Linked DNA regions of Mus musculus. The protein of the gene in region 4 purifies or fractionates together with the protein of the main gene of each other region. This does not show direct contact. Links are inferred from orthologs where the notes say so. Each region holds a gene or a part of one and is shown on either strand. Other genes may lie near its edges.

Evidence for each region.
Region 1: the proteins of Rrs1 (region 4) and Nifk purify together in Homo sapiens (affinity purification with mass spectrometry; 3 studies listed by BioGRID and IntAct, counting the BioPlex papers as one, with this or other methods). This does not show direct contact. The link is inferred for Mus musculus from reciprocal best matches to the Homo sapiens genes RRS1 and NIFK.
Region 2: the proteins of Rrs1 (region 4) and Nop56 purify together in Homo sapiens (co-immunoprecipitation; 3 studies listed by BioGRID and IntAct, with this or other methods). This does not show direct contact. The link is inferred for Mus musculus from reciprocal best matches to the Homo sapiens genes RRS1 and NOP56.
Region 3: the proteins of Rrs1 (region 4) and Ftsj3 purify together in Homo sapiens (affinity purification with mass spectrometry; 3 studies listed by BioGRID and IntAct, counting the BioPlex papers as one, with this or other methods). This does not show direct contact. The link is inferred for Mus musculus from reciprocal best matches to the Homo sapiens genes RRS1 and FTSJ3.
Region 5: the proteins of Rrs1 (region 4) and Nop2 fractionate together in Homo sapiens (co-fractionation; 3 studies listed by BioGRID and IntAct, with this or other methods). This does not show direct contact. The link is inferred for Mus musculus from reciprocal best matches to the Homo sapiens genes RRS1 and NOP2.
Region 6: the proteins of Rrs1 (region 4) and Npm1 purify together in Homo sapiens (affinity purification with mass spectrometry; 3 studies listed by BioGRID and IntAct, counting the BioPlex papers as one, with this or other methods). This does not show direct contact. The link is inferred for Mus musculus from reciprocal best matches to the Homo sapiens genes RRS1 and NPM1.

Annotation. Positions count from the first base shown.
Region 1 is NC_000067.6:118,324,843-118,328,342, forward strand, and holds part of Nifk (MKI67 FHA domain-interacting nucleolar phosphoprotein), read left to right. Parts: intron 1-2,782; coding exon 2,783-2,891; intron 2,892-3,500.
Region 2 is NC_000068.7:130,272,935-130,277,211, reverse strand, and holds the start of Nop56 (nucleolar protein 56), read right to left. Parts: upstream 2,801-4,277; 5' UTR 2,739-2,800; coding exon 2,736-2,738; intron 2,579-2,735; coding exon 2,489-2,578; intron 2,181-2,488; coding exon 2,066-2,180; intron 1,698-2,065; exon of another isoform or gene 1,639-1,697; intron 1,550-1,638; coding exon 1,388-1,549; intron 1,237-1,387; coding exon 1,038-1,236; intron 976-1,037; exon of another isoform or gene 843-975; intron 777-842; coding exon 589-776; intron 506-588; coding exon 354-505; intron 181-353; coding exon 80-180; exon of another isoform or gene 1-79. UniProt on the Homo sapiens protein: Involved in the early to middle stages of 60S ribosomal subunit biogenesis. Required for the biogenesis of box C/D snoRNAs such U3, U8 and U14 snoRNAs. Part of the small subunit (SSU) processome, first precursor of the small eukaryotic ribosomal subunit.
Region 3 is NC_000077.6:106,250,862-106,253,084, forward strand, and holds part of Ftsj3 (pre-rRNA 2'-O-ribose RNA methyltransferase FTSJ3), read right to left. Parts: coding exon 2,220-2,223; intron 2,140-2,219; coding exon 2,039-2,139; intron 1,886-2,038; coding exon 1,805-1,885; intron 1,717-1,804; coding exon 1,567-1,716; intron 1,478-1,566; coding exon 1,342-1,477; intron 475-1,341; coding exon 293-474; intron 163-292; coding exon 45-162; intron 1-44.
Region 4 is NC_000067.6:9,544,106-9,547,955, reverse strand, and holds Rrs1 (ribosome biogenesis regulatory protein homolog), read right to left. Parts: upstream 2,549-3,850; 5' UTR 2,433-2,548; coding exon 1,335-2,432; 3' UTR 501-1,334; downstream 1-500. UniProt on the Homo sapiens protein: Involved in ribosomal large subunit assembly. May regulate the localization of the 5S RNP/5S ribonucleoprotein particle to the nucleolus.
Region 5 is NC_000072.6:125,130,510-125,134,682, reverse strand, and holds the start of Nop2 (probable 28S rRNA (cytosine-C(5))-methyltransferase), read right to left. Parts: upstream 2,801-4,173; 5' UTR 2,680-2,800; exon of another isoform or gene 2,654-2,679; intron 2,476-2,653; 5' UTR 2,471-2,475; coding exon 2,365-2,470; intron 1,165-2,364; coding exon 1,119-1,164; intron 970-1,118; coding exon 881-969; intron 137-880; coding exon 1-136. UniProt on the Homo sapiens protein: S-adenosyl-L-methionine-dependent methyltransferase that specifically methylates the C(5) position of cytosine 4447 in 28S rRNA. Required for efficient rRNA processing and 60S ribosomal subunit biogenesis.
Region 6 is NC_000077.6:33,153,207-33,156,706, forward strand, and holds part of Npm1 (nucleophosmin), read right to left. Parts: coding exon 3,458-3,500; intron 2,899-3,457; coding exon 2,797-2,898; intron 2,015-2,796; coding exon of another isoform or gene 2,006-2,014; exon of another isoform or gene 855-2,005; coding exon 780-854; intron 1-779. UniProt on the Homo sapiens protein: Involved in diverse cellular processes such as ribosome biogenesis, centrosome duplication, protein chaperoning, histone assembly, cell proliferation, and regulation of tumor suppressors p53/TP53 and ARF.

The DNA.
Region 1 (3,500 bases), about 110 Mb from region 4:
CCTGGGGTTAATGAACTTAAGTTTGGTTTATGTAAGGTTTCTCTAATAGAGCCCCTAAAACCACAGGAATCATTTTTTGTGAATTTGCTTTTACCGGGGTTTAAGTCAGGGGATGGAAATTGTCGCTTTGTGACCACCACCTTCTTGAGGCCTACTGCCAACTGATTCCTCCCTGGAAGAGAATTTCCTCCCCTGGGGACTCCTCCCGCTGGTTGCCTCTCCTAGTTCCCTGAGCAATTCTTCCTCTTGGGAGACTTGTGCTGTCCCATCTGTTCTTTTGTTTGCGTGTGGGGAAGGAGAAGACGAGTCTTGCATTGTCCTGAGGAGGCTCGTGGGCTTTGGCGCTTTCTTTGTGGGTCATTGAGTCTCCTGGAACTCGTCTGGAATGTAACTGCCGTCTCCTGCAGGTGCCATGGCCAACACAGCCAGCAGCCTCTTTCTTTCCTTTTGTCAAGTGTTTCTCCTCAGTTCCTCCAGCTTCCTGCTAATCTTAGTAGCCACTTCCTCTGCCTGAGTCATGGCTTCTAAATCCTGTAGACTCTACAGTCTCATAGGATAGCTATTCCTCACTTGCTCTAGAGGTTGCTCCCCAAATACATCTGATTCTTGATGTATTACTGCACTTGTTTGACAGCTACCAGGAGATGCAATCTTTGTTCACTGTTCAGCTAGTGAGATGCAGTGAAAAATGAGTCCATATTTACTCCAGAAACTTGGTTCCAGCTCGAGAGCCAAGAAGTGGCTCAGATGCTAGGATGAGCCATCACTTGCATGTCAGAGACCATGTATTTCAACAGGTTTTTAAATTTACATCTTCTAAGCACCTTTAAAGTGTTGGGTTTTGATTTGGTTGGTTGGAGTCGGAGATTAACTGTGGAGTTCTGGCTGTCCCAGACTTGCTACCTGGACCAGGCTGGCCTTGAACTTGTAGCTGTCCTACCTCTGCTTCCCAATTACTAGGATTATAGGCACTCATCACCATGCCCAGCTTAAAGGGAATTTTTATTATTTATCTGTCTGGGTATTCTGCCTGTCTATGTGTTTGTGAACCGCATGCATGCCTAGTACCTGCAGAAGCCAGAATGGGGGGCATCAGAGCTTCTGAACTAGGAAATTGAAGCTGCCATGTGGGTGCTGGGAATTGAACCCAGGTCCAGTGCTCTTAGCCACTGAGCAATCTCTCCAGCCCCTACAGCCTTCCTAATGCTGCAACCCTTCTATACAGTTCTCATGCGGCGGCCCACAGCCATGAAATTATTTCATTGCTACTTCATAACTCTGATTTTTGCCTGTGTTATGATGCTGGGGCTTAAACCCACCTTTTTGTCTGTGTTGGGCATCCAACCCTTGGCTTTTTGGTTTCTTTTCTTTCTTTCTTGATTACTTTTATTTATTAGAATGGGGCAGGAGTGAATGTAGAAATCAGCTAGTTTGTTTTTTTTCCTTCCACCTTGTGTTTCCTGGGGTTGGAGTCAGGTAGACTTGGTAGGTAGTGCCATTGTCTGGTGAGTCATTTCACTGCCCTTGATTTTTGTTCTTGGAATGGCATGTCCTTTCAAATTCCCTTTCAAAGGATCTGTTAGTTTGCAGTGGTAGTCTGTTGTTTTGGTGTGGTTGGAAGTGTTGGTAGGAGATGGTTGGTGGTTGATACTCAACCTGGCCTTACTCTGTCTGTGTAACTGAAATTAACTTTGAATTGCTGATGTTTGTTTTTGTAATATGTTGTTGAGCTTTGTGGGACATTGGTATTTTCGTGGCATCCTGATGAGAGGGTTTTTTTTTTTTTTTTTTTTGGTTTTTTTTTTGGTTTTTCGAGACAGGGTTTCTCTGTATAGCCCTGGCTGTCCTGGAACTCACTTTGTAGACCAGGCTGGCCTTGAACTCAGAAATCCGCCTGCCTCTGCCTCCCGAGTGCTGGGATTAAAGGCGTGTGCCACCACGCCCGGCTTCTGATGAGAGTTTTTAAATTGCCCTCGTTTCATGGAATGACAGTCTGTTACTTAACACAGGTCAGTGCCAGGATCGAAATATAGACATTTGAACTCCAGAACCCACCCTATACTTATGACCATTCTGGGTGTGGGAATCCACTCATGAGCTGGTACAGGGGTTAGGAAGTCCAGACCAGTTCCTTTGCCTAGGCTGTGGAAATCAGGGCAAGTTCCTGGAGGCTTGTTCCTGGAGGTTGTTCCCACCCTTAATGTGTGAGGTGAGGTTGAGCTTGCCTGTGTTCTCCTCTGGCACTGGGGACTGAACCAGGGGAAACACGATAGGTTAGCACGGGCTTACATTGCTATTTTATTTTGAGACAGTTTTACTTAGTTGCCCAGACTGTCCTCATTATACTCACAAGATCCTGCCTCAGCCTCCTGTGTAACTGGGATTCCAGTCTGGGATTACCCAGACTGCTAGGGTTTTAATGAAGGAAAAAAAATCTGGCCCTCGCTGGTGTGTGCCAAATAAGACTGCCAATGAAATGAGAAATGAGTAGACAAATCCAGAACTGTGAAAGCCCAAAAGATAGCCTTCTTACCACCAGCGAGTACTACTGAATTCATTGTAGCCAGAATACTCAGGGATGTATCATACTAAGCCGAATTTTAAGGATACCAGAAAATCTATATTCCAAGCTGTGACTGTCTTATCTGTCTGTCTGTGTGTTAGTTTGGGGGATGGGGGCAGGGGCCAGCGGCTTTGAAATAGTAAAAGTTGCGACTGGGGCTTTTTAGGAGCTTGGTGATAGTTAGACTTAACTGCTCTTTTGTGGGTTTTTCTGTTACAGACTGGAAACAGCAAAGGCTATGCCTTTGTGGAGTTTGAGTCTGAGGATGTTGCCAAGATAGTTGCAGAAACAATGGATAACTACCTTTTTGGTGAAAGACTTCTATCATGTAAGTATTCTGACCTTTCTGCACTGTGATGGGATTACAAAGTTACTCGTGACATTGTACTCGGAAGAGAAGCTGACCCATCTTTAATGTGTGATTGGAAAGAATTTTGCTCAAATTGAAAACTGGTGGGGTTAAAGCCCAGCATTAGTGGTACACGCCTTTAATCCTGGCACTTGGGAAGCAGAGGCAGGCTGATCTCTCTAAGTCCAGAGGCATCCAATGCTCTGTAGAGACCTTATGTCATCAAAAAAGGAAAAGAAAACTGGGGGTTAGATAGGCATAAGCCAGGAAAAGGATGGCAGTGCAGCCTGAGGTCATTTCTTACCCAGTGAGTGGTGAATGCCAAACCAGAGGTCACTAACCTTTAGTTATTGGGATGTTAGGGGATTCAAATGGGGAGCAGAAGATGGGCTACAGGTCTGTGAGGCCTGGGTGCAGCCTCTTAGCCGAGTCTACACAGGGCAAGACCAAAAGTAAAGAATCACATTTCAAGATCAGACTCAGTGAGGGAGGTGCAGCCCTGGCCGTAGCCCGGCTCCGGGCTCAGTAAGAGGCAGTTTGAAAGAAGTGAAGCAGAGAGTAAGAGAGTAGAAAGTCTTCCTTGCCCTG
Region 2 (4,277 bases), on a different chromosome or scaffold from region 4:
CAGCCATCATTGTAATCCCCAAACAAAACAGTGGACACCAGAAGCAGCACCTGACATGAGCAGGCGCCCTCACTGGTACCTGAACAGGGCCTTTTCAGCCCCAAGGATCTGTACTGTGGACGCTGGATACTTGGCCAGGTTGGTGAGGCTGCCAGCATGAGCAATGAGGCGTGCACCTACCTGGAGAAAGATCCGAGGAGGAGGTCAGGTGAGTAAGTGGGAACCTGACCTCCCAGGCTCATCCCCTCTTCTCTTCCCCACCATGCATCAACTAGGGACAACATGCTAGCCACAAGGATAGCGGTACAGAATGCTGAGTTTCACTCCCCCACTTTGTGTTCCCCATGACGCACCGCTTCCCCAATTAAGGCTGACAGGCTGGGGGCTACTTGGCTCATCTTGGAGCGAAGGTAAGTGTGTAGGCTCTGGCGATACTCTGACAAAGACACCACACGACTGGAGAAGCTCTCGATGTTTATCAAGTCGATAGCAGATATGTCCATGCCTAGGAAACACCTAGTGTGAACAGGGGGACCAGATACTCAAGGAGTCTCGTACCTTATACAGGCTGCCGCGCTCCGCACTGACCCATGGAGGACCGAGAAGCATCCAAGATGGCCTTAGCCTTGGCCCCGTCCATCGTAATTTCTTCCAGTTTCTCTAACTTCTCTTCATTCAGCTCCCTGCGGTTCCCAATGAACTGAGCCAAGCGACAGTATGTGGCGTTGTCATTGACGATCTTCACCAGCTCTGGAAAGTGGTACCCATACCACTCCCTGTAGAGGAAGTCATTCTCTGATCCAGCTATCAAACCTCAACTCAGGTCCCAAGCTCTCTCAGGCCCGTGTCTCCCCATTCACAATACAGACCAGGCACAGTGGCCTAGGCTGAGGTGTACATGGGGTAGGTTTATTCTGCCTCCTCTTTCTATACAGTCAGTGTAGGAACACAGCCTGTGGTAAGCACAAGGAGGCCTTGCTTTGGTCCATGATTTTACCCACATGAATCATCGGCCATGCTCGACTTCTATACCTTACCTGACGCGCATCGAGAAGGTATTGATATCTTTATCCAGTTGGTCCAGGAGGCTTATGGACTGAATAATCATGTTGTCCACTCGGTTCACATTAAATTTAACTTTGGCACGAGAGTAGCTGTGTCCCAGCCCTAGCTGGGCCTTACAAGCAGAAAGATCTGTCAGACCCTTCACCAGATTATGGAAATGCAGACGAACTCCTAAAAAGAAGATGGGACTTTAAGAATAGATCCTCCAGGACCCAAGTAACCACTCACAGCAGATCACATCACCAGGCCCGTAGGCCCCCTGCTGGCTTCTGTGGGCACTGCATCCACGTGGTGGACAGAATAAATGAAATAGGACTCTTACCTCGAAGGATCTCAGCTATCACACCACCAGTCTGGCAGTTGTACCCCAACTCTTCCTGTATTGCAGCACCAATCTTGGGGTCTCCAACCCCCAGAAGTACTTTCTTCTTTTTAGATGGCAGGTATGTCTCCAGGAGCAGGCGGAGGTCCTCGTGAACAACACCTTTGGGACAAAGAAAACAGCTCTAAACCACACATTGCAGATTGGAGACTGTCTCCAATCGGATTAGTTAACACCCATCCCCGCAGGCATTGCTCAGACACATGGAGTCGTCAGTGATCTCTCAGGGGATTGACAGATATATAAGTCATCATTGCAAAGCCTGGCTCTACCACAGGTCCAGGAGCACAATTGTAAAGCATTTAAGTGCTTTTTAAATTACAAGATTTATTTATTATATGTACACTGTAGCTATCTTCAGACACCCCAGAAGAAGGCATCAGATCTCATTAGGGATGGTTGTGAGCCACCATGTGGTTGCTGGGATTTGAACTCAGGACCTCTGTAAGAGCAGTCGCGCTCTTAACCGCTGAGCCATCTCTTCAGCCCCTGCATATTAATGTTTTAAAATGCCATCCTGTAGGTCTCAAATAATCCCTAGACTGTATCAAGCTTAGAAGAAAATCATCTAAGAACATCAACCACCCAGAATCCCATGTTCCGGAGGGACCGACTCACCTTCAGACACAGCATTGGCATTTTCCAAGGCCACCTGGGATGAAGAGAAGGGACAGAAGGCCACCAGACGAACGACATTGTGGAATTTGCCAAGGTTAAGCACACATTCCTCCACCTGGAGAGAAGGATGAATGGGCTTTCTTTGAATTTGGCTTCTACAGCGCAGTAAGGCAGAAGCACCAGCTGTTGTAGCAATTGGTGCCTGGGCCCCGAATCTTAATTCTCAAGAAATGGAAATGAGATGTTTATCTCCGACCGCTTCCAATTATATAGATTCGCGTTAAAGAGTCCCCTCATTCTAGAGCTCCCCCCCCCCCCGCCGGGCCCGGTGCGGTCGGCCACGTGGGAACACGCGGTGCATGCTGGGGTTTGGCGGCCTTAGGGGCTGCATTGCAGCTCCGCGAGCCCACCGAGCTCACCCACCTGCGGCAGCAGCAGGCTGATCTCCTCCACTTCCTTCAGCGCCAACAGCGCGTAGCCGACCGCATGCTCGAACAGCACGTGCAGCAGAACCTGAAAAGAACCGGCGCGCGGCCATCAGTCAAACTTCCCAGTCCGCGGGGCCGCTGCTAGAGCAGGCCCTGGCTCAGACCCGGAGCACGACCCCGAATGCAAACCCAGACGCACGCTAAGGCCTTCACTACGCAAATACCCCACCACCACTCCTCACCATGGCGCCTGCTCCGTGCCCAGCTCGCAATGCGGCTAGCGCGCTCTGGCGCGCGGAACCAGACTGCGGAGACCACACCTTCTCCGGTTTGACCAATCAGAGGCTGCGGACGAAACCATTGTCAGGTCTTCGGAGGGGGTTCGCGGGTGTGGTATCGTCCGTCGGGCGGGTTGGACTACCACGGGCGCGAGCGGGCCTGCCAAGCCCAGCCTCTGCGGCTGCGCGAGCCGGTACTGCGTCTGTAGTGAATGGTGTCGCTCCTGCCGGCAGGCCGCAGAGTGGCCTGGAGACCACCCTTCTTCGTTCCTCGTGCTTTTGTCACCCGTGTGCCGGGCGGCAGAACTCGGTGAGGGGACATGAGGCTTCCTGATAAGCCTCGCAGGTTTCCCGCTGCCCAGATATTCCGGGTCCTCGTGGGACCCGGCCTCAGACCCTGCAGAAATGGCGTCTTCTTGCTGCCTGCCTCTTCCTTTTACATTTTGTTGTTAACAAAATTGTTGGTGCGGGCTGAGGCATAGACAAGAGCGGTTTACCTCTTCCTAGTTCTGTTCCTTTCCCTGATTCATAGAACCCAGCGCTGCTCGGCACCACGTGGTTGCTCATGGCCGCGTAGGCCCAGAATTCTTCCAAGGAGCTGCGTTCCTGTTTTTTTCAGTGCCAGTTTTAGGCACACCAAGGTGGATAATTTAAAATCACCTTTGCTTTAAAAAAGAAAATAAAAAGACACTTTACTTTAGTGTTAGGATTATAAATCCCAAACTTGATGGCCTAGTCGGCCATCAATGGGAGGAGAGGCCCTTGGTATTGCTAAGATCATATGCCCCAGTACAGGGGAATGCCAGGGCCAGGAAGCGGGAGTGATTGGGTTGGGGAGCAGGGCGGAGGGAGGGTATTGGGGGCTTTGGGGATAGCATTTGAAATGTAAATTCAGAAAATATCTAATAGAGAGAGAAAATAAATCCCAAACTTGAATAGTCTCTCTTAAATAGTCTATGCCTTATGCGAGAAAAAAGAATCATGGAGTAAGTCGGCTGTACATTGTCTATCATGGAGTAAGTCGGCTGTACTTTCTCTATAATGGAGTAAGTTGGCTGTACATTGCCTGTAATGGAGCTGGCTTGGATAATAAAGTGGACTTGGATAGTAAAGAAATGTGTATGTATTGCAACTAGGAAGCTACAAGCGCTTGGCAGGACATGGTGGAACGCACCTTTAATTCTGGTATTTGGGAGGCAGAGACAGGCCTGGCTACATAGCAAATTCCAAGGCAGATAAGGTTACCCAGTGAAACTCTGTTTCAAGAAAAGTAAGCTATAAATGCTTGTGATTAGATGAGGCGACACAGCACAAACAAACAAGCAAAACAAGATGTTCCTTTGGCTTCCTCACCTCCACCACTTCATTAAAATGTCACCCCAGGAGTTGAATGGTGACACGCACCTTTAATCACAGCACTTTGGAGGCAGACATCTGTGAATTCAAGGCTAGTTTGGTATATATCGATAGCTCCAGGCTAATCAAGGTTACATGGTAAGACCCTGT
Region 3 (2,223 bases), on a different chromosome or scaffold from region 4:
CTTCTCTAGGGAGTGCCACTTCCCACCAGTCTCCCTAGCTCTACCTTGGAGAACCACAGGCTAGCTTGCTCTTCCTGCAGTACTGCCTTTTCTTCCAGTGGTACCAGCAATGGATTTTCTCCTTCTTCCTCTTTATTGTCATCTACTTGAGTAAACCGCAAGCTGTAGACCCAAAGGAAAGAGGTCAGATTCAAGAGACCCAACCAACCTCATAGGCCTTTCTTTGTCCGTGCCCACACTAGTTAATTCTGTCTCAGAGGGCAGCACTTCCTCTCAAACAGAGAGCCCTTACTACTTCTGCTCCTTCAGATCCGAGTGTGTCCTGACTCCTGCCAGCTCTTCTGGATCCAGGTCACTTTCCAGAGAAGTATCATCATCGTCCTCAGCATCTGACACATAGATGTCATCCCTTGGCAGATCAGACAGAAAGGTGTCTGCAGCGTTCATGTCTCCTTGTGTTACTTCCTCTAATAACTGAAATAGATTCAAGAACTTAGGCAGCATCTTCCCAAGCCCATTAACTTAGCTCAGCAACATCAATAAGAAAGAACACTGGCAAATAATAGTCCCTACACAGCAGCCGTGACCTAGGAAGTAATCAACCTGTCTAAAATGTACAGGGCGCTGATCTACATACTGACTAGTTTACAAAAAACCCTCAAAAGCCACTTGACATACAGAATTCACATTTGTGTAATTTGATCCCAAATAAAGGAGCACTCAACAGGCATCAAACTGCATCTGTTGATTTTGACTACTATTAGAACCCCAAAACCTCTACTCCTGGTGGACAGAGCTGCTCTGTGAGTATCACACCATTCTGGGGGTAATACTCAACCATTTTTTTAAACCTCTCCATATGGTATGGTGTATTCTTATTTAACAAGTGGGGAAAACAGACTTAAGTTACACAATAAAAGGGGAGTTGGCACTAAACCGTTCCTGCTCTATTGCCTCTCCTGTGTCATAAAGGTGACCAGGCCATTGCACCACAAAAGCTCATTTTGCTGTGAGATTGCTTTGAAAGGCTTATTCTTCAGCAGCCCAAATCACAGTGCTCATTAAACCCAGTGAGTCAATTGTGCCCCCTTGGTAACACAGGCATTACAACTTCATCTCCTGTCATGTGAACTCTTGGTCTTAACTCTAGTTTATAGAGCTTCCTGATGTCATCATATTAGAGGTGTTTCATTTGAGCATTCTGGAGTCTCGGGTACTCCTTTTCTCCTCTAGTATTTATAGGTAAACACAACAACCAAACCCCACGATCACTCAATATATTTAACTCGATGCTTCCCCCGACCTCTGAGCCCTCAAACCGATGGCCCAGCTCTCCCTTACCTGCTGGCCACGGATGGTTCGCAGGGAGAACATGCCTGTCTCCCCCTCATCTGCAATAGAAACCCCAGGCAGATCCATCTTCAGCTCGACACGCTCCCGCTGCTTCCTCTGCTCACGAAGCAACTTCTTCTTCTTCCTGATCAGATGTTGAGGGATTTAACCTGCTTGTCTCCAAAACTTGAGTGTCCTTTACCCTTTTCATATACTCCTCCTCAGACCCCTCACCTCTTGAGTTCTGCCACTTCTTGGGCTTTCATCTCTGCCAGAGTCCGATTAAGCTGTTCTTCCTCTCTCTCTTCTTCTTCCTCTGGCGCCTGCTTTGTCTCAGCTACTGCCTCTTCTTCATCACCTTCTTCTTCTTCTTCTGAGCTGAGGCTGGCAAACCAGTCGAAAGGTGTGTTTATTTTCCCAGACACTTGATCCCACACCCAACCCTCCCTAACCCTGGCTACCTCCTCCTTACCTGATGTCCAATGCCTTTGCTTGCTCTTTCAGCTTCTTAGCCACATATCGCCGAAGCTTTGTTCTCCAATTCAGAAGAGACCTGCCCAAGAAATACTATTACTGACTAATCTACCCCCATCTTTGTCCCTGTCTCTTCCTTAAAAGCCCACACTCCAGATTTCAGGGTTTAGCCATAAACAACAAAATCCTGGTCCCCAGAGTCCAACATCATGTTGCCCTTACACCTGTGTACCTAAGTTCCTTTCGCCCCAGCACTTTGATGTCCTGACAGCATACTCTAATGTCTTCAGTTGTAGCTGGATGCTGTGCCAACTCTTCATCATCTATTGAGATCTGTTTGTGAGGGAAGGGAATGGGATGTTGTTCTGGCCATGTTTTCAGGCCTCCCGGAGACTCTCACTCTGGGAACTCACTTCG
Region 4 (3,850 bases):
AAATGTCTCAATGGCAAGAACCCCACTGGGTTTTTCGTAAACTTAAAAAAAAAAAAAAAAAAAAAAAAAGGCCCCAAACTGACCAACCAAAACCCCAAATTAATCTCTGAAAGTTAAGTCCTGTTGTTAGCAGTTGGGAATTGGGCTAGAGGTTACTTTTAGCTGTCAACAGCTTGGCTTTGATAAAGTTCTCATGGATACTTAGAACTATAAACTGGAAGAGTTTATAGTTCTTCTCCAGTGGAAGAGTTCAGTAAAGATGAGCCTAGTTAGAGCTTTACCCAAAGTCACTAACAATCCAGTGTTTCCATGAGTTAAGAGACAAGTTGAGCTTTCCTTGCATTTCTACAAGTAACCTTATAAAACTGAAACCACACTAAGAGTAACCTCCAACCCAATTCCCAACTGCTAGCAACTGACAGACCAACTTGCTTTAAAGAAAACACCCCTTCCTCAATTCTAGAATTGCTATTAATAACTTACAAAAATAATGCAAATACTAATTATGCAAAGATAAGTTTATTAAGAACAAAATAAGACAATGAAACAGGGAAAAACATCTAGGACAGAAATAAACATGAAATCTGCTGCTCGATTATAATCTCAGCACTTGGCCCTGAGTTCCAGGGCAGCCTTGGTTCCATAGTGAATGCCAGATATTTTGACAATATCTAAAACCCAAGCCAATTAAACAAAAGCCACCGGTTACAAACAAAATGACAACTATTTCTGGACTTAAAGCAATCCATTGGCCAAATGCACCACCTGAACCAACACCAAAAAGCACTATACTTTTAATATTATAGTTAGGGCCAAAGTTTTCCTAAAACAAGGGGTCTTTTTTAGAACCACTGTAACTACTTTGTTTTTCTCAAGCACACTCCATATTGGTGCCCAGGTTACTGGCTTCACATGCAACCTCTACCGACAGTAAAAGTTAAAAGCAACACCAGGTACCTGCATCCATTTACAATACTTGCAAATCACAGGTAGATATAATTTTCCCCCGCCCTCCCCGCTTTGATAAATACACAAGCTTTGTTATAAAAATAATGCAAAAATGTTGAAACCAATCTACTGTAACGCAGTATCCAAAGTCAAGATAAAAAGGCAGGCCTTAACTTATTCCTGGTTCTGGCTATATCATTTCTATAATTCTCAAAATACACCAATTTCCAGTCAGTGTCTCTATTAACTCGTCCAGCACTGACTCGAGGGAAGGCAAACCCGTCCTTTTAATGTCAAATGTCACTGAGGGCAGCGGCCACCTATACCGCCCAAGTTAACTTTTAGTACAGTCCCAGCTTTTCAGAACTGGTCCCGAGGGGAGAACGCTACTTCCTCCTCTTCCCACCTTGGGGCGGCACTCCTTTCTTCTTGCCAGCTAAAGCAGAAGGCCAGGAATGCTTTTTGCTTCCCAAGCCTCCTTTCCTCTTTTCTCCCTGACCCGGCGGGCCGCCCTTTCTCTTGCCCGAAGGTCCTTGCCGGCCCCCTTTCCTCTTGCCTTTCTGGCTCATTTTCCTCCTCTTGGCAGCCTCCTCCTGGTCCTCTTCCCTCATCTGCTTGTTGGTGGCCCTCGTCACGTCCAGCCGAGGTTTCTTGCTGTTCATGACTCGAAGTAGCTCCAACTGGTTCTTTTTCTCGGCTGCGAAGTCCCCAAAGAGGGGCTGAAACTTCCTCTTCTTGCCGGAGCCCCGGGGAGCTTTCTCCTTGGGAAGGCGCTCCTGGAAGCGTCCCACCGAAGCGGTGGAAACCTTGGCCACTTGCATGGCGCGGCCCAGCTCTTCCTTACTCTGGTGTCCAGTAGGGTGCAGGCCGGCTGAGCTGGGCATCTGCATCTTGTGCGCGCGAGCCAGGTTCCGCAGACGGTTCAGCTCATTCTTGGCCACGCGTTCTTTCTTGGCCTGAGTCCTCTTGGCGAACTGGTCTTCCATGGGGTCGGCGCTCCCAGGCACCTCGATCAGCCATTCTTTAGTGTCATCCCGGGCGCGCTTGTAGCCCCAACGGCGCCGCCACTGGCCACTCGCCTCGTCCCACACGAGGTTGGTCTTCTTCTTGGGACGGATTCCCTTAAGGCGCGCGAACTGCTGCCAGCGGGTGAGCGGCCGTGGTCGGGGCAGCGGCTTCTCGCGGGGCAGGCGAGTGGCGGGCTCCGGCAAGCGCGCGACCACCGCCTCCTCCACGCGCTCGGTCGGCAGCCGCCACAGCTGGTTGATGAGCAGCTGCGTGTTGTCCCGCGCCAGGGCCCGCAGCTCGGCCTCCGGCGACGGCCCGGCCTGGCGCAGCACGGTCGGGGGGTTGCGGTCCGAAGCCAGCAGGTTGCCCAGGTCGAACTCCAGCTCCAGCTCCTTGTGCACCGTGATGCGCTGCAGCTTCTCCGCCTCCTCCTGCTCTGCCTTGGCCAGCAGCTCCTCCACGCGCTGGCCCTCCATGGCTCTCGCTGCGGCTCGGATCCCTCACTTCGGGACAGCGGCGGGACGTATCGCCACTACAGCAGCACCCTAAACCGGCAACCACGTGCGGACGTCCGGACCCGTAATCCGGAAGAGGAAAGATCACTTCCGGGTTGTCTGGAAGCGGCTCACAGCTAGGCGGGGAGGTAAAGACCGGCAGAGGGCGGCATTGGACAGCAGATGGGCTTAGAGGCGGGACTTGGATTCGTCACCGGATGTTGGCCCGACTGGCGCTGAGGGTTGGCTAACCAGCTCAGGACCTGGTTGGGACTACGTTTCCCAGCATGCTGTGGGGCAGAGGTAGTGCAGTAGGACGCGGGCTGCTCAAACTCTTGGAAGTGCCTGCATTGTAGCTTCCGAATGGAGCGTCTACACCACAGTGTCTATGGGTAAATCTATTACAGAGGTGTTTGGGGCGAGACAAATTATTTCCCCAGAGTTATAGCCCGTTCTCTGTGCCCTAGGTGTGAGCGGAGACAGATCCCACGGATACCTGTCCAAGTTAGGCATTGTTTTGCGACTTAGTAGGGCTTGCAGTTTGTCTGTACGTGGCCTGGGCACCAATTCTGGCCATGCCATTGTTTGTTCCTGTGATATTTGTGTAGGCCTGAAAAATCGTGGAAGATGGAGACTCTGGTAGTATCCAGGAGTGTTTTAAAGGTAAATGTGTTAATAAGCTTGGAGGAAGGCTAAGATCCAGTGAAAACCAAATAGTTTTTATTCAGTAGTCATGGTGGCCTAGGGAGTTAAAAATCTCAGTTTACTATTTACTGCCATCTATTTTTATAGGTTTTTACCTCAGTCCGGTGTTAGAATGGGCACATGTTCATCTAATGTCATCCAAAAAAGTGTTTTGTTTGTTTGTTTGTTTGGTTGGTTTTTTTGTCTTGTCACATAAGTAGACTTTTACTGATTTATTTATTTTTTAGTTTAGATCACATGAACCGGAGGCCGAGCTTGAACTCCCTGTACATCGAAAGAGAACTTGACTTCTTTTTTGTTTGTTTGTTTTTTGTTATTTTTTGAGACAGGGTTTCTCTGTATAGCCCTGGCTGTCCTGGAACTCACTCTGTAGACCAGGCTGGCTTCGAACTCAGAAATCTGCTTTCCTCTGCCTCCCAAGTGCTGGGATTAAAGGTGTGCACCACCACTGAGAACTTCTTGATTCTCCTACCTCTCTCTCAAGCATTAGTGTTTCAGGCATGCAATATCCAGTGTCCAGTTCCATTTTTTAAACTAAGTTTTTGGTTAGAATGCAAAGTAATTATTTTCAATATGGTGCTTTCATACAGGTATCATTGTTATCTCCATCCTTCACTGCCTTCCCCGTCCCCCATAAATAGACATTTAAAAAATGCAGACTAAACTGGGTATGGTGTATAATCCCAGCACTCTAG
Region 5 (4,173 bases), on a different chromosome or scaffold from region 4:
ATATCTTCATCACTGTCCTCAGAGCCCCAAAGGTCCCCCTGGGTCACCACATCGTCTTCCCCCGAGTCTTCCTCCTCGTCCCCATCACTGTTTTGAATTGGTGCTGGGCGCTTCTTACCTCGAGCCTGGACTGCTCCTGAGAAGAGTGAGGGTTTGCCAAACCCTGGATGGACGGCAACCACACCCTGCCTCACACCCCTGGAGCCTGTACTTTCTAGCCCTAAGCATGGTCTCTGAGGGCTGGAGAGATGGCTTTACTTAACAGTTAAAAGCACAGACCCCAGAACCCACATATGACAATTCACAAGTACCTATATCTCCAACTCTCAGTCGATTCAGCATCCCACTCACGAGCACACAACCACATTCGGACACACACAAGAAAGAGTAAAAATAGGGCCGGAGAGAAGACTCAATGGATAAGAGCAGGCGTTGCCCTGGCACTCGAATGGTGGGGATTCACAACCATTTGTAATTCCAGTTCCAGGGGATCCGATGCCTTCTTTTGACCTCCACAGAACCAGGCACCCACATGACACTCACTCATATATGCAGGCAATACACTCATATATATAAAATAAACTGAGTTGTGATTTTTCAAAAGTAAGGCAGAAACAGTTGGATCTCTGTGAGTTCATGGCCAGCCTAGTCTACAAAGTGAGTTAAAGGATACTCAAGGCTACACAGAGAAAATCTGTCTCTTACCACGGCCTGAGCTATCTCCAGCATCTTAAAGAAACAAACAAACAAAAAAAAAAATATATATATATGTACATATATATATATTTTGCTTTGCCGTTCCTTCCATTCTAGAAACAATTAGCCCTATCCAGGTCCCAGAGGATTCTTCACAGAGCAACCAACTCCTATAGTCACTAACCTTTGGATAACTCTCCAGGCAATGTTTTGATCCCAGGAGACTTATTTGGCTTAGGGACGTCAACAGACCCTGCCCTCCTCTTGGCTGCCCTGAAAGAATACAGAAAGTGAAGACAAGGGAACATACCTCCGGGTTCTGCCACCTCCCACCACAAGGAAACAAGACAATGCACAACCAGCCCTCTTCACCCATGGATCCAGCAGCTACAATCTCACTAAACCAGCGGATTCACACTCACCGCTTTCGGGCACGACTCGACAGCCTCTTGGAATTCTCATCGCCAGCTGTTAATTTAAAAAAGGGATAGATTAGGAATTTATAGGAAATACAAACTGGGGGCAGGCATGTAATTAGGAAGAGAGAGAATCACCACGTTAACGAAGAAAAGTGTGGCAGTGGTAGAGCGAGTTTGTTTGTTATGTACAAGTCCTCATATTCACCCACGGCAGCAGGAAAGACTAAGGCTATAAACTACAGTCCATGGGAGTCACTCCATACAAGTCATCCAGGAGTTACAGGAGATGTGAAAGACAGGCCAATAGTACAGCCTGTGCGGAGTATGGGGAAAGCCCAAGGCTCCATTCCCATCACTTCCAGAAAACTTAAAAAGACCAAAAGAAGCCAGGTGTGGTGGTGAACGCCTTTAATCCCAGCACTCGGGAGGCAGAGGCAGGCAGATTTCTGAGTTTGAGGCCAGCCTGGTCTACAGAGTGAGTTCCAGGACAGCCAGGGCTATACAGAGAAATCCTGTCTCGAAACCCCCACCCCCACCCCACCCCACCCCAAAAAAGACCAAAAGATGTAGAGGAGAGGAAGCAGCCATCAGACTGTTCAGCAAGGAAACTCAAACAGTGACATTCTGATAACAATGTAACCTCAAACCCCTTTTCTGCCCTTCCCTTATTCTCAGCTTATTCAGTTATCAACTAAATTAGAACTTAATTTTGCTATTTTTGGTTTTACAATCTACAAGAAATGTCCCTTTTCACTTACTGTGTGTTAAGACACCTCTAACCTAACAAATAACAAAGCCTCTCTCCCAGGACTCTAAAATTCGATGAAGTGAGACCATGTGTCCATACAGTTGAGGATCTCCTTCATGGGCCTGTGGCTTGCCAATATTTCAACAAACTGCATCTTCCATCATCCTTCACCACAGAGGGCTCAGATCCGTGCTTTCATTCCATCTCTTCCGGACAATTCGTGACCGGTCTGTTCCGTTTCCAACTCTTGCTTACCAAAACTAAGCTTAATAACATCTTTCCAAATTCTTCATGAGAACTCCCTTCCTGGAAACGGAAGATCGCACCGCTCCTCGCACGAGTACCATGCCCCAGTGGCAGCTTCCCACCCTTCTCTAACCCAAACTATTTATCTCCTAACAGCTCACATCTATGCAGCAGGTAAAGGCGAACACGCAAACGAGAAGTTATGGCACAAAATGGGGCAAAGGCTGGCCGGGATCAGGGAGCTACGACCCTCACCTGCAGGCAAAAATCTGACCAATTCGGTCTCCGCACCCTTCTGTTTTCGGGCCTTTCGGCCGGGTCCACGCTTCTCCTTCTTCGTAGGATCCAACTTGCGCCCCATGATAACTAAAGCAAAGACAAACGAGGCAAAGCGACGTTGTGGATGCTGAAATGGGAACGCAGGCCGTAGGCTTAAGGATATTACCAGGGATGGGTACCGCCCGGCCCAGGACCACTACTCAGGACCCCGATGGCCCCCTCCAGGATCTCCCACAGGACCTCGTCACCACGCCCCTCTCGGAACCTTGCTCCGCGATCCTGCAGACGCACCTGAAGGCTCGGCTCGCCTAGACCTGGTTCCGGCTGACCCGGCACCTCCAGTCAAGGCCCGCTCCACGTGCACTGGGGGGAAGAACTCAGAGGTCGCACACCGCGAAAGTGAATCGCGCAAGCGCAAAAAGGGTCGTCACAACGCCCCGCCTCTTCCGGCCGCGGCACCGGAACACACGTGATCCAGGGACACGCCCCTCACCCGCGGTTCAGAGAGGGAAACGCGCGGCGCTGCGGTCAGCGTTTCTCTGCCCTCGGTTCGGAAGGTGGCTTCCGCCCGCTACTCCCGAGGCCGCACGCTCCTTCCACCTAGCACCGCAACTTGGCCCTCCCGCTGGCACCCTAATTGCCTTAGCCCGCAAGATCGCGGGGTCCCACGCCCCTCGCCCTCCTGTTCCCAAAGTTTTGTATTAGAGCCGCTTTCCTTAGAGGTAACCCTCCCCTCCGGACCCTTTCACATAGGAACACGCACTCGGCCGGCCTTCCTTCCAAGCAGGGAGACCGCTTAGCGGATAAACGCGCTTGTCTCCGAGCCTGCAGAACTGAGTCTTTGAGTCCAGGACCCACCCATCTAGTGGCATCGGGCACAAACTCCTACAAGCTGCTCTTTGACCTCCACGTGCACAGTGATGCTATGTACAAATTATATAAGAGAGTGGTAGTTCTCTATAATCTCAGCCCTCTGCAAGAAGCAGGTGAATCTCTTTAACTTGAGGGCAGCCTGGAATTCCTGGACCCAGGATTACACAAAGAAACCCTGTCTCAAAGAAAACCAGTAATAAGGGGCTGGAGAGATGGCTCAGCAGTCAAGAGCACTGACTGCTCTTCTAAGGGTCCCGAGTTCAAATCCCAGCAACCACATGGTGGCTCACAACCATCTGCAATGAGATCTGATGCACTCTTCTGGTGTGTCTGAAGTGTACTCATATATAATAATAAATAAATCTTCAAACAAAAAAAAAGTGATAACAATAAACCAAGGAAAAAATTTTAGGGTACGGTAACATCCTTAATTCCCCCACTTGAGAGGCAGGGGCAGGCAGTAGTTACTTAGACCCTCAAAAAATTTATACTTAAGGTAACACATCCTTAATTCCCCCACTTGAGAGGCAGGGGCAGGCAGTTGTTACTTAGACCCTCAAAAAATTTATACTTCTATAATTACATATTCACGCATATGTATTCCATGGTAGAACACTTGCCCAATGTCTTCACAACTGTACCAGGCAAGTGGCTACTTCCTGCAGGAGTGCTCTGCGAACAGTTTGCTAAAGATCAGAGCCTATAAACAATGGTCCAGAAGCCTCTTGTTCGCCAGAATGTCACCCTGTCAGGAGCACAGGCAGTCTTCCAGGATAAGCCAGTTCCTGGGGTACCTGGAACCCACACTCACCCACACAGAACCAGATCACTAAAATACAAGGAAACTTTTATTTTCAGTTCTCATCAAGAAATTTGCTGTGGTTTTTTATGCTTTTGGTTCTTTTTCTTTTT
Region 6 (3,500 bases), on a different chromosome or scaffold from region 4:
AATTCTAAAACTTAGGTCAATCTGTAGCTAACACGAAAGGACTGAATTTGATGACATCACTACTTCCAATCATTGACAGTCTGCCTCAATCCTAACCACTTTTGACTACAAACCTGGGAGCTATAATTTAAATAGGCAATACTATCATTTAATACTCTACTGCTATATTGTTCCTTTTAATTCTTTTTGAATAGACACCTCTATAGCCAATACTGATGAAACCAATTAAATCAACTGTTCATTCAGAAGGTCTAACATTAACCCATTATATTTACTATTTAACACTGTAAATTCATACCACTGGGAAGAGATCACTGGTAGTGCTTTGCCCTTGCATGGCCCAAGTATCCTAATACCACAATAAACATAACAGTAACTTGACATGCAAGAGGCTTTAACCCATCTAGGTTGATTCTACCAATTTTACCCTCCTTTGCTATCTGGAGAAGATACTACCACTTCCAAGAGTCCAAGTATCATCAGACTGTAAAGCAGCCAAATGGAGCAAATAAAAACCATATCCTATTTCCTTAGCCAATACACTACTAAGAGTAAAACTAAGTTCAGTAACCAAGAGATAATTTACCAACTATTTAAAACCTGGGAAAAATGTGCACTAAAAAATTATTTGCTCAGTCTGCCAATTAAATTCTTTCCATGTATTTAAGTACTGTCTGTGGTTAGGAACTTTTTACAAGGAGCCAACAACTTGAGACTAAAAGTCATAATAAATCAATGAAAATTTTAGATTTGGTCACGTCCACAGAAAATTCAGTTACCTCCTGGTCAGTCATCCGGAAACAATTCTTCACATAATTAATGAACTTGGCTTCCACTTTGGGAAGAGAACCGCCCTATTGAGGGGAAAAAAAGCATTATTAAGGACAAACAGCAATTGTTTGAGACATCATTAGAAAAAACTTCCAAAGTTTTACATGCCATTACACAAACTATAACCCTTTAACATTCCCATTTGATTAAAAACCAACATTAAAGCCAGGCATGGTGGCGCACGCCTTTAATCCCAGCATTTGGGAGGCAGAGGCAGGCGGATTTCTGAGTTTAGCCTGGTCTACAAAAGTGAGTTCCAGGACAGCCAGAGAAACCCTGTCTTGGAAAAACAAAACACAACAAAAAAAAACCAACTCTGGGCCCAAACCCAGAAAGACCATGGTTTTTTATTGCTTAATGCCCAGTTCCTTCCAAACAGCCAATTTAAACTACAGAGGGCTCTACTGGCATGCAAGTACAGCCACTTGGGTGCCTAATATACAAATTCATGTTATCACCTATCACCAAAAAACAAATTAGATACGACCTGTTCATAAGTGTTTTCCAATTACCTAGGAAAGCACGCAATTGAAGGGATTTAAAAGTAGGTACCTTATTACTAACTGTAGCATCGATTTGGCATGCTTCCAATTATGAATGTAGACTAAACCACAATTATCAGCAAGTTTTGCTGCCAAAATTCTTACAAATTAAGATACTGCAATGCAAATGTTAACTTATCAGCATAAAGTGTCACTACAGATTATCCCCTATTTCATATAAAATCCACTTCTCTAAATTTTAACCTTTTTGCATTTCTATGCACTTAGCAAGACTAAGGCTTCCAAATTCCAGAATCACCTTGAGTATTAAGGTACTCAATTGCCTTCATCACCTAGAAAATAATTCACTACGGTAATTTGAAAATATTGTCACATACATCCTTATTGATTCATTTAAAAATTTATTGAGAGTAGCTAAGGATACAAAGGTTAAAACATGGTCAAAGAAATGAGGCATATGCACAAGTGGTAGAGAAGTAGTTTTCTGCATCACAAAAGTAAAAGAAAAATGCTTTAGGAAAAACAAGATTGCTTCCAGCCTGCAAGGGGGAATGGATGGCCAATCAGGAAAGGGGATTGAGATGTCTGGATTGTTGATGGTACTATATTTGTTTCTCCTTTTCCTCTTTCCCCATCTTTGGGCTTAATTTACCAGTAGTGCCCAGGAATGTTCAATGCGCCTGCAATTAAACCAAGGAGATAGGACCACATTAAAATGGGGGGGAGGGGCATCATTTTAGCAGTGTATGCAAGGGATAAAAAATAAATCAGTGACACCAGGAAACTTAAGTTTACAGTTTAATAAGAAATATGAAATGTGCTGCCAAGTGCTAAATTCCAATCCATTTGTGGCTGCACAAAGGAAGAAAATCTTCTGAAGCCATGTGAGAACTACAAGACAGGAAAAAAATAGGAAAAAGAATGGGCAATCTGCATAACATTCCACATGTATTCAAGTAATTCACATGTTAGAATCATAATGGAGATAAACTTAGCTCTCCAAAAAAAAAAAAAATCATTTGTATTATTCCATTCTACACAACCCAGGTTTATATAAATGTATTTAGTCCCAGCCAAATGCCAAGAAAGATAAATTCTATTTCAAACTAGATGAAAGCCTATTAGCCACACACACAAATTTCAGGTCATGGACTGAGGGAGCTTTGGAACAGAGGGCACAGAAATAACTCAAATTGTTGTGAAATACTTAAAGGTGATTCTTTTTTTCTTAGCTATAAAATAACCTCAGGCAGCCAACCACTTTACTCTTACTTTTCCAGCTGTTTTTAATTTTACTGAAAACAAAACACCCTCTGCTTGTTCTACAGCATAACCCCAGTAAAAAAAGTACCCTTATACATTTTATTGGAGTAATTTATGAATATTCTTACTTATAATCTACTTTTAACCCAAATTCCCACATTAGTAGAATTTCTAATATTCAAAGGTTAATTTTACTCACTTTTTCTATACTTGCTTGCATTTTTGCCTTAATGTCTTCTACAGAACTAGGTCCTTTTGGTGTTTTAGGAGTCTTTTCCTGTTTTTTGAAGGACTCTTGACCCTGGAAAAAGTTTTCAAAGATTATTAGTACAGTTCTTAACAAAGTAATTACCAAGATTTCCCTCCTCCCTAAAATCCCTTATAGAGCACAGAGAAGTTGCTAATTGTTCCTAGCTAGAAAGCCTGTCAGGACTAGAGGGCTGAAGATGCATAAGCAGTTAGAGGTCAGAGTTCAATTCCCAGCAACCACATGGTAGCTCACAACCATCTGTCTGAAAAACAGCTAGTGTACTTATATAAATAAATCTTAAAGTAAAAGATTGGAAGAGATGCTTCAAAATAAAGTCAATCAATCCTGACAAGCCTCTTAAGACAACTCCTGACCTCTACAAATACACACACACCACCCAGATCGTGAAAGCTATAACAGGTCAGAATTCAACAAGTCTACAAAATAAGTCAACCTTGGAATCCACCACAGAACATGACACACTTCACAAATTTATGTATTGGGCTATCTTAGTGTGCACTATAGTCTATTATGTAGGCAAGGTTAAGTACCACAAAGCACAAAGTTTTTTTAGGCACTGAATTTAGTAGGTCTGTTGTTGGGTACTTACCTTTGATCTCGGTGTTGATGGTTTTAAGTCTTTTCCATTTTGG